Drosophila melanogaster: one gene and its partners. Changing the gene in region 3 together with the main gene of any one other region gives a genetic interaction. Each region holds a gene or a part of one and is shown on either strand. Other genes may lie near its edges. The genes, in order: ptc, ey and dpp.

Region 1 (3,755 bases), on a different chromosome or scaffold from region 3:
GAGTTGGATCGGTCGGTTTGGGATCGGCGAAACGAGTACGAAAGTCCTGCTGTGTGTCTACGTCTGCGCAGCGAAAATAGATGTGGATTGATGGCGGTGCACAGAGAATAAATACTAACAAGATTGGTAAAACATCCAATTTGTTGTAGTTTTAGACTGCAGCGAAAGGGTTATTCCGTCTACTTTTACGGCGAATAGTTTCATAAACAAATGTCTATATTTGGAGGTAAATCCTCCACGCTTTTTATGTCCAGAGAACGAAATAGCAAAATTAGCATATAAGCCGATTGGCGTGGATTTCAACTAATCACTGTAATTAATAGGCTGCCTGGCAAGCGAACATCAGACAACTATATTAACCAGGGAATCGAACGAAAGAAAACGAAACGAATGAAATGAAATCGAAACGACCGGCGAAGAAGACATCGGCGACGAAAAAAACGCGAAAAATATTGCGAGAGATATTGGCAATAAAATTTATTGAAATCTGTCCCGGCGACTTAATGGCCGCATTAAACAAAAGCCGCTGCTCTTCGGATTTACAGTCGAACTTCTACATCATGGTTTTTAGTTAAGTGTCTCAATATTCTAATGACAAGAATTGTACAATATAACAATTTCAAATTTTAAAAAGATTGTAAATTTACTTAATACTTCAAATCTTTTGCTTAATTTAAAGTAAAAGGGATTACTAACAAAAGTTTCGAAAGAGCCAGATTTTCCATTTAAACTTATAAAGGATCCTCCGAATACGATTCAAGAATATTATTGAATTCAACACATGGCTATCCTTCACAGTGAAAGTTCACTGTAGTTGGGCACTCACCTTATCTATCTGATCGAGCGCCACTTGGGCGTCCACCCAGCTGGTGCGTATGTAAAGATCCGAGAATAATTTCTCATCGACCACATCGCCGTGTGTGTCCGGAACGCGTGGGAGGCTGTCGCGGTCCATTATGGTTATGTTTATAGCCAGATTCCGGACGGAATCGCGTGGCGGAGATGTGCAGATGGGAGTGTGCTGCGGAATCGGTCTTTCTACAGTGCCTGCCGTTCGTCTGCGTCCTGAGAACTGAGACTTGGGAGACAGTGTGCGGATTGTTCGTGGACTTTCGGTTCGATTAATTGTTATTGGAATCTCGTATTTTGTTTGGCTGCATTTTGCACTGCATTCCGCATTTTTATTTTTAATTATTTTGTATTTTAAATCAAGAGACGCTCTCTCCCGCGCTCTCTCGCTCACTCACTGAGCACGCTGTGTATCTGAGCTCTCGTTGTGTTGTTTTGTTGTGATTGCTGGCTTCGCTTTTGCTGGGTTTTTTCGACGATTAAAACGCGGTTTTCGGGTTTTATCTTGGGCACAATTTCTCAGGGGAATTTGACAGAATTTTCACAGATCTTTTACACATGGAAAAGCGGCAGTCGGACGACTCACGTATTCGGTTTTCTCTCTCGCCTTTCGCTCTTTTACCTTTACTTTACTTTGCACTTGGCGACGCACACACACAAACACTGGCTGGTTGGCTGGCTTTTGTTGTTGCCTGGCATTTAATCCATGAACTTCGCCTCGCATCCGTGAGGTACAATATCTTAGCTTTTCCACGAGTTCTGTGATATCTATCTTGTTAGTATACCACACACAGAGAGTGCCAGTAGTCGGAAATACGAATAACAAGTCGTCGCGCTCCGCACTTACAACCGTTTCGTTCGAGGATCGCACGCAGTCTGAGAGATGTATCTGTATCTCGTGGATGCGGCACGCCAGCCAGGCCAACAACTTCATTAGGCGAGCGCGCGCCGCTGTTTCTCTCTCTCACTCTCTCTTGCCCAGCGGGCGTCTGTGTGCACTGTTTTGCGCCTGTGTGCGTGGGCGACACTCAACACACAACACAGACGCTCTCCCTACTCTCACTCGCTCTCTTGTTTCGTGTGCGGCCATTTTGGTTTGAGAACGCTCTCTGCGAGGGCTGCTTTAACGATAGCTCAACGCACAAAATACCGAGGGGTGATTCAGGAGTTTTTCCGAGAAAATACCAAGTTTGTTATATAAAATTTATGAATGCTTGTTGCAAAATAAAGAATAACTACCAATGTAAATACATATGTTAACAGAAATTAAGAAATAAAATATATATCTATTACTGTTTAAATATCCTTTGTAAATATTTAAGTGATAATAATAATGATAATGTAATTGTTGAGCATACGGACTTAATGCTTGGAACTCATTGTTTACATTTATACTTTTTATAAACAAATAAAATATGTAGCTCTAATATACCCAAATAGCTCCGCCACGAGAGCGCTAATTTCTATTGTTATTCGCATGCCGTAATTTGTTTTTTTTTTGCATGGACCACCCAAAGTGCCTTGGCTGCTGGTTTGTTGTTGCCACTGTAGTTTATTTTCGCTGCAGTGTGGACCACCCAAAAATAAATTTGTTTCTGCCTTCATTAAACTGAAACCGCCAAGCGATGTGGGTGGTCCCCTACCCAAACGTTCAGCTCTGCCGATGTCGGCCTTCAGCGTCGGCAGCGCTGCCCAATGGAGCTTTCGTCTCAGTGTGTGTGTGTGTATTTGTTTGGGGGAAGCGCGTGCGTGGCAGGCTGCGCATGCATGTGTGTGTGTGTAGCCGTGCCGCGAACTGTTGGCAAATTTGTTAGCTTTACATTGCTCGTGTTGTTGGTTTTATGGCTGTTGCTGCTGCCCCATGCGATGATGTCTGTTTTTGCATGTTCCGATGCTAAATTATGAGCGGCAGGATGTTTCTGCTTTTCCCTTTCCATTGTTTTTGCAGCCTCTTTGCCCCATGAATCTCAAATATGCGAGGGGTTATGAGTGTGCGAGGACCACACAAGTAGGTTTGTTTTTGCCGGCAAATTAAAACACAGAACAAATTATATGTTTATTAGACGTAGTCTTTAAATATTTACTCTAAAATCGACTTATAAAAGAATTTTTTTTTTTTATTTAAAAAAAAAAAATAGACTAAACAAGTTTTTTTTTAATTTCTGAATAATAATATACCAATGGAATAAACTCATTTTCATGCGACAACCGCAAACCGATCTTTTTTGTGCACCACGAACTTAAGCCAAATGACATGTTATCTTTAAAACTTCTTTGGATTTATGAATGGAAATGCATTTGCTTCTGGTGTTTCTCCGCATTCCACATTTTCCCTTTCCAATTGAGGCAACAACAACGAAGTAAACAAATAAGAACTCTTCGAAAAAATTGGCGCTCGAATCATCAGCACCATGGAAATTCAAATTGAATGCAACTGCATAGTCATCGTGCTCCCCTCGTGCCCCTTCGCTCCCGCTCTCTCTTTCGGGGAGAAAGAGTGGGAGAGGGAGATGTGAATGTGGACCCACCACCAAGCGAGCTATTACAATCAAAAAACAACAACTCTCTCTCTAACTCGCTCACCTGAACTAACGTTGCAGCACATTCATTTGTTGTTCTCTCTCTTCAAGCTAATCGTTCCCTCATCGCCCTTTCCATTACTCCCACCTCCGCCCGCTCACTCTGCGTGTGGCGCATTTTGGCGACATGGGCGGCATTTTTTCTCCAACATGCATATTTTAGCTTTATTTCGCTCTCCCCAGATTGCGCCATCTTTGGCTTGCTCTCGAGTTTTTGCTCTCCTCTCAATGACTTGCAGTTCGTTTTGCTGTCGCTCAATTCGCATGCAGCTCCAATTCCCCAAGAGAGATAAAAAGAGAGGGAGAGCAAGATTGATATTCACACAC
Region 2 (3,755 bases), on a different chromosome or scaffold from region 3:
GGTAGTCGTGAAGAATACAAACGGATAAATCATAGCTAGGTATACAACCAAATGGTTAAAGAATTCAACTAGAATATCACTTTTGACCTAAGCTATTACTTAAAAGAACTAGTTTAAAAAGTTCCCAGTATGAACGAATATATACCATAGACTACTTGGGCCGTTTATGGGGCTTTTAGAAGGAGGCGCTTAATCTTTTTCAGTTAGCGTTATGAGCTAAAACAGGAGAAAGAGAGCTATAGTCCGGTTTATTGACTATCAAATACCCGTAATTGGGCTGCATGTGTGAACGAGAAATTGCAATCTTTTGGCTCTTATAGTTCCTAAGAACTCGACGTCCATGCAGACGGACATGGCTAGACGGACATGGCTAGATTGACCGATTGACCATGATCAAGAATATATATACTTTAAATTTAAAAAATCTAATAACCCTTTAATCTATGAGTAACGAGTATACAAATTTGTATAAAACGAAAGAGTCAGCTAGTATGAAGTACTCAATAATCATATACGCGCGGGATAGCATGAGATACGCCCGTAGGAACGCCATTGATCATTAAACGCCTTTGCGTTGTAATTTACAATGTGAGTGAGTGACAATGGTTTAATATAAAATTAAGCTGCGTATGCATTACTGGAATTTGCATAATTCCTACTTATTTCGCTTCCAAAGGTCTCGACGTCAATACTGACGGACAGACATGCCAACGGTCATCGGAAAATCGACTAGCCGGGAACTCTTCCTTCCACTAACTACTTTAAATACAAATTAGCAACAAGCTACGGGTATAATACAAATATAGGTTTTTCGAATTATAAGAGTCACGGCGAAGATTTGAATATCTTTGATTTGGACAATTTATACGGAGTATAAAGCCGTCTTACTCTCGGGAGTTTGAGTTTGAGAGAAGAGTTCGCAAACGATTCAGTTCAGAAGCTTTTTATCTATTGGTAAACTGCGCCAAAAGAGACCAACAGCCGAACGAAACTGCACTCGCCTAGTAGGACCGGATCAACTGCCCATGGGCAGCATTAACATATGTGTTGGCTAAGACTCATATATATTTATAAGAGGGTCGGATAAAGACGATGATGCCAATCAAGAAATTTAAAAAATTCACTTACCCTTGTGAGCCATGTCTTCTAAAGACGGCAGGCGCTCTATCAATGTTCCCGCTGACCATGGGGGAACCACGGTGCCTATAGCAGTTGGAGTTGGTTGCAATGTAAACATAGTTGGATCTCAGTTTTTATTACATGCACTGCTCATGAAAGCTTTAGCCAAGAGACTGCTGTGTTCAGCCAAACGCACGCCGTGCGAACTCTTGCAGGGCGAGTCAAGCAAGAGTTAAGAGTAAATTTGCGCAGATGGTGAGAATGACGTCCTGCAGTGATCAAAAAACCTATTGTTGATCGCGCCGTGAGGACCTAAGAGTTACGAATTCGGAAACACAAATATAACTGAGCAGCCGCTTTTGTTTTAGTTCACTTGTTCATTTTTCGAACGCCACTTTTGATTGCACTCATGTTAGCATCATATTTGTACTGCACGTAACACGTATTATTCCCGGGTCTACCGATTGCTAACTTAGCCGGTAATTTCATTTGATATAAAGATTAATACGCACGGTGAATCGAACAACCTTTCTTAAACTTCGCGACACGGCGGCGGAACAGTATTTACCTTAGAAGCGCAACACGAAATAATAATGTCACGACCTGCCTACCCGGATCCGTTTCAGAAACAGACTAGGCCGACCCTCGGCTGGCCAGCACCCCCCTGCGCAAAAGGCTGGGTTTGTTGCCACGGAACCGCGTGCGATTGGCAAAGACCAGCATGGCTGGTCCACTCACCACCATTTGCTATAGGCTAGCCCCATGATTGGTTGTTGAAGCACACCAGTTGTCCCTCTCGCACCCGTGTAAGGTTAGTTGGCGGAAGATGAAAGCGATTCGGCACGGTGCAGTTCTGCAGCTGCGTTGTGTCGTTAAGCATATCGTGGCAACGGAATCTGAAAATAAAGGAAGAACCAACTCTAGACGGACCAGCAGCACATAATGGAATGGTTTGGTCCTGAACAGACATGAAAGTGCTGGTCTGGAACTGGATGTTGTTCCTTCCAGCAAGAAACTGTGTGTAAACGGTGCAGCGCCTGCCGCTTTCACCGCCTTTCGAGAAGTCGCCCAGTGCCACACCCCCCCCCCCCCCAGCAATTACACACATGTTGCATTCCATTTGAATTCAAGCTGGCCAGACAAGTTGCCAGCAGCACACTCGTCCAATGGAATTGTTTCATTCCGATACAATAAGCGCTTCACATTTCCGTTAACTACCCGCACGTTTCCGCTTCGGCAGTGCGAGCCTACACACACAGCCATATCGAGGGGAGCTGGGTGTGGGCGTACGGTTGTTTAGTAAAATGTCGACAAGCCTAAGCACGGTCACACCCACCAGCCACCATCCCATAAGCTGTCGTCACATGTGGAGGCTGGGTGGGCCCCAAAGAGGAAGTTCCTGTCCTGCTTTTGCGCCGCACAGCGAGAGAACGAGTTGCCAATAGCCTGAAAGGGACGGCCAGTGTTATGGCTAAAAGGCCATGTTTCAAAATCCTCTAGAGAAATATTAAAAAACTATAGCGCACCTACACGACTGTATGGGATAATGTCGATTTAAGTGCAATTCACAAAATTCAACAGCAATATCCGGCCAATTTTTCTGTTTCCAATACAATTGGGCTCTCCAATGCGAAGAGTTCTTCTCACACGGTTTATAACGTCCTTATGACTTCTGAAAAGTGAAATGTAATAATAATGCATATTACTTCTAAGTCACTTCCAGAATGTTTTTAATGTACCCTTGCAATAGTTCTACATTGTATTTATAATATTTAATTTTGTTCTGTCGAAATTTGTAGCAAATCTGAAAGAATTGGGGTTGAAATATTTGACATATTTTAAAAACATTAGCAATCACTAAACAATTTAACCAAGCCCGTTGACATTTTTATGAATAAAATGCACGCACGATCGATATCTGAATATATGTGAGAATGTTAGGCGCGCAACTGTTCTAAATACTTAACTTACTGGGCGTTTCATTGACTATAAAATGTTTGAACTTACTTTCGCACATGTAATTTTTATTATTACAGGTAAGACTGAATCATTTTCATTTGATCCGATTGCCATATCCCTTTATAATATTCAAGATTTAATATGCACAGATTACATCATAAAACGCCTAAAGGTGGAGGAAACAAATGTTTTTATTAGGCTACATGGTAGCACATGAAAGTATGTCCCCCGCAGGAAGCTGAATCAGCCCTGCTATCATCATATTATCTTCGCACTGGTGCTGAGGATGGAACGCAGCCCAAGCAATCGCCACGTGGCACGTGCCAACGACACGGCACATGCTCGTGGAGCAAAAAGTTGTTCCGTTTCGGCTTAGTCTGCTTCAGATGCAGACCGCCTCCGAGGGTTTCGACACCCATATATTAATAATAGCAAGAATCGCCAATAAAAAACTCTTCGTTTGGAGATTGGCTAGGTCGTCGATTCAGTAAGTGATCGAGATCTGGAATACATGTACTTACATATATATGCTGTTAACGGGATGGAAGTCTGGGTAGGCGGGTATCAATAATACATTTGCGGGCAAAATGTCTCCAAGGGTATATTAAGATATAGGCACTATAGAGTTCTTTCTGACTGTTTTGTGAGTACCGCGATAACAAACATAGCATATGAGT
Region 3 (3,755 bases):
CCCTGCGAATGCAAATGCAAATCGCAGTTAATAAACTAATTGAGCCTAGTGGGGTGAACTTTGACACTGATTTAGTGCCCCCAGTCGCATTAGCAAGGCAAATCGAATAAATCGATATAGATACCGATTAAGATTTAGATTCAGATTTCGATGCTGATTCCGATCCCATGTGGGATGGCTTATGCAATCGTGATCGATCAAACCAAACCAAAGCAAAGCTAAGCGAAGCAAGCCCTGCCCAGCCACGCCCAGCCAGTCACATATAATTATTCAATTAGCCAAATGGCGTCATAAATTAACGAGTATATGGCATATGGTCAAAGGGTTTTTTACCATGGCCAATGTCAGTGTCAGCCGCTAATTGTGACTGGTGTGGAATGCCGTTAATTCAGTTCATCACTTGGCCCCCATGAATATGCAAGTGACACCCGATCTCCACATGTCTCTGCTGATAATGTCCGGGGTCCAGAGATAGAATTTCACTTTTTCCCCGGATACTGGCGTAAATCTGTCGAAACTTTATGCAGTGATATCAAGTTGGCGGAAGGGACTTATCTATTGGCAAACTTATTAAAGCAAACTAGATTTCCTCATAGTAATATAGATTTTTTAGGTGTCTTCATAAATGTAAATGCATAAAAGTGAAATGGTTGCAAAGTTTATCATTAGAAATCTAAACAGTGCTAAAGTCTCTGAAGAAAATGAACATAATATACTGCAATTGCTATTGTTTCAGAAATAATCCACTGACTTCTGAGTTACATGTATTTATTTCTTTCACATTTATATACATAAGTAATCAGCCAGTCTATATGCATTGTATTCATATGTATATGTGTATGTGACTCACGCATTGCACCCAGTTCCAGTTTTCCCAGTCAGCTGTTTAACAGCCGTTCAATTGATTCGATTGATCTCGAATTGGACACGCAGCCACCATGGCGTATGCGCATTATTTGCTAACACTCTCGGCTTGGCTTACCTGGTGCACCTGCTGCACGCCGCTCAGTTACGCTCCAAAATCCACAAATCCTTTGGCTGCAACTGCAACAACAACCAATTCTGGCAGTTCGCGAACGTCGCATACATTATACACTGGTTCGACTCGGATATCCACTCAAATACTTTCGACCTATCTATCTCGCTGTGGCTTCGATTCGATTCGATTCGACTTCGACTTCGATTTTGGCTTATGGAAATCACTGGCACTTCACATGTTTGCTGCTGACGATGGTGGCCAAGCTCAGACTTTGGCTATTTTCGATTTGGATTTGGCACACAGACACATCACTCACTCACACTGGCACACTCGCAAGAATGGCGATGGTTACGAATATATTATCTGATACCGAATCGGTATCAAAAATCGGAGAGGCTTTGGCTGGCTGACGAGCGATCGCGGAAACGAGAACGAGAAACGACGGGAGATATTTTCTGTTTTTTCTGTGGTTCTTCAGGCGCGACTATCAGCGTTTAACTCGGATTTACTTTATTTTATGGCCGCAGAAACCGCGAACGATTACAGAGCAGAAAAAAAGTGATTAGAGGCTGTATATTCGGTTGTAACCAGCGATCTTTCGCCTCGATTTGGCGACACTCTGTGGACGAACGAACGCGTTTTTCGGTTCCGTACAACGAGCGTTGAGCGCAAAAAACTGAATGAGCGTCCAAAGCGGCCGAGGCAAGGCAAACAGGCAGGCAGGCAAAAGCGATCCGGAGACGGAGCAGCAAAAGCAAAAGCAGAAGCAGAGCCGAGCAGCAGCAACAGCAACATCAAAGCAAAGCACAGCACAGCAGCAACAGCAACACAAGCAGCAACAGCAACACAAGCTAGTTAGTTAGTTTTGAGCTCGTAGTAGTGAGAGTCAATCGCACACACACTGCCGACCACGATGGCAAGTTGCTTAAGTCGCTCAAAGCGCCATTTAAGTTGAGTAATTAAAACAGGCAGTATGTGTGTGTGTGTGTGTGTGTGCGAGTGCGATTAATTATTAATCAAGCCAAAAAAACAACAAGCAACCGCTAAGGCAACAATAACAAACAAGCCAGACTCACAATTACAATATTTCAGCTCTCTCAGTCGCCGTCTTCAGTCCACAGTCTCCGGTCCACAGTCTACAGTCAACACAGAGTCTTCGGTCCTCAGTCTTTAGTGTTCAGTCTTCTGTCTTCTGTCTCAGCTGCGATATCTTGACTTTCTTCAAGTCTCTCTTCGAGCCAAAGCCACAGAGCTGTTACACATTTGACTTTTCGGCGCTGCCGCAACTGGTTCGGTTTATTTTTGGCTCTAAATCTCGGACTAAGTCGCGGACTTCTCGAGACTGCAGCGCTGCTAATGCAAATCTAAATTGATTGCAAAATGCTTAGAGTCCCGAGCAGACAATCTTTCGAGTCGATCGGCGTTGCCGGATTGTTCGGCTTGTTCGAGTTATAGGAGCTAGATCGTTTTGAGATATGCCAAAGTGAGAGTTTAATGAAATCGAAGCACAAAAGTCAGGCTCTGCAGATAACACACACATGAGCTCCGTTTGACTCATCGATCTATTTAATATTTTTAAAAATTTTGTTTGTCCTTCAAAATGTTTTATTTGTTATTTAGGCCTTGATACTATGATTCCCCAAGCCTTACTCACCATATCAATCATACGCCTCGTGTGCCCATCTGGCAACGCTAGCTGCCCAAAATCCATGCAGCAAACTCAATTGATGCCGCTGATCTGGTTGTTGTTCTTGCCGCTGATGTAATTAAAATATTGCACTTGTTACTTTTACCAGCGGCTGTTCTGTCTCTTTCCCACAGCCTTTCTTCCCGTATATTGTGCTTGCCTCAGGAACACAAGTGCAACAAAACAAGCAGCCAAGGAGCAGAAAAAGCACAACAAGCACGCTGACAACATCGACTTCATCGTTCGCCGTGTGTCGTGTATTAAAACTTGTTCATTGGAATTTTCTAATAAATCAATAAACGCAGACAACACAGCGCAGTGCGGCGGGGGGCTCCAAGGGGGGATCCAACGGGGGCTCCACAGAGGGGACTTCGGGGGGCCAGCGGCATCTTGGCACACAGCTGGCGGCATCGGCGGACCGACGGACAGATTGCCGCACGCATCTCGCAGATTGCGCATTTTATAAATAGCTGCCTCATTTTTTTTCTATTTTTTAAGGTTATGGAAAATTTTAGTTGTTGTTATTATGATTTCTTGCTATTTTCCTTTCCAACTCGATCAGCCAATCGCGATTGTAGGCTATGGCCAAGCGGCAGCATTGACAACACTTTCACACAGTCGATGCACCCAGAGAAATATAGATATTCAAATCAATTACAATTCCATTATGTAATGAAAATGTTGTAAAGTAAGGAATAACATCCTTACAACATAACGAAAGATTATGGGAAACAAGTACGCACTTTGTAAAAATGCCTGCCTATTACCTGATTAGCTAAATTGCACTTCATTTCTCTGCGTGTAAAATAGTCGCTTAGCCGTCAGTATTTCCGTAAATAAAGCGCTTGGGAAGTGGCAATTAAGTTAACTGTGGGCTGGCCACAACAATCAGGTAAACGCCATGAAATGTACGCCAATCGATTGGCGTTTTGCACATTTATTTATCTATATTTTCTATAAGTAACGATCGCTTCCTATTCTTTTTCGAATTGCCATAACGCTGGCACTTCGATGCGGTAATAAAGGTGAAGACTTGATTTTTAGTGCGTTTATCGCGGAGGCAACAATGTTGCCACTAAATTTGCCATG

Evidence for each region.
Region 1: of dpp (region 3) and ptc, changing one suppresses a phenotype caused by changing the other (phenotypic suppression), as found in Drosophila melanogaster (3 studies listed by BioGRID).
Region 2: of dpp (region 3) and ey, changing one enhances a phenotype caused by changing the other (phenotypic enhancement), as found in Drosophila melanogaster (3 studies listed by BioGRID).

Annotation. Positions count from the first base shown.
Region 1 is NT_033778.4:8,647,622-8,651,376, reverse strand, and holds the start of ptc (patched), read right to left. Parts: upstream 1,729-3,755; 5' UTR 956-1,728; coding exon 827-955; intron 681-826; exon of another isoform or gene 324-680; intron 127-323; exon of another isoform or gene 1-126. UniProt on the Drosophila melanogaster protein: Segmentation polarity protein. Acts as a receptor for the hedgehog protein (hh). Associates with the smoothened protein (SMO) to transduce the hedgehog signal leading to the activation of wingless, decapentaplegic and patched itself.
Region 2 is NC_004353.4:702,647-706,401, reverse strand, and holds the start of ey (eyeless), read right to left. Parts: upstream 1,752-3,755; 5' UTR 1,238-1,751; coding exon 1,129-1,237; intron 1-1,128. UniProt on the Drosophila melanogaster protein: Involved in eye morphogenesis.
Region 3 is NT_033779.5:2,426,278-2,430,032, reverse strand, and holds the start of dpp (decapentaplegic), read right to left. Parts: upstream 1,662-3,755; 5' UTR 983-1,661; intron 1-982. UniProt on the Drosophila melanogaster protein: Required during oogenesis for eggshell patterning and dorsal/ventral patterning of the embryo.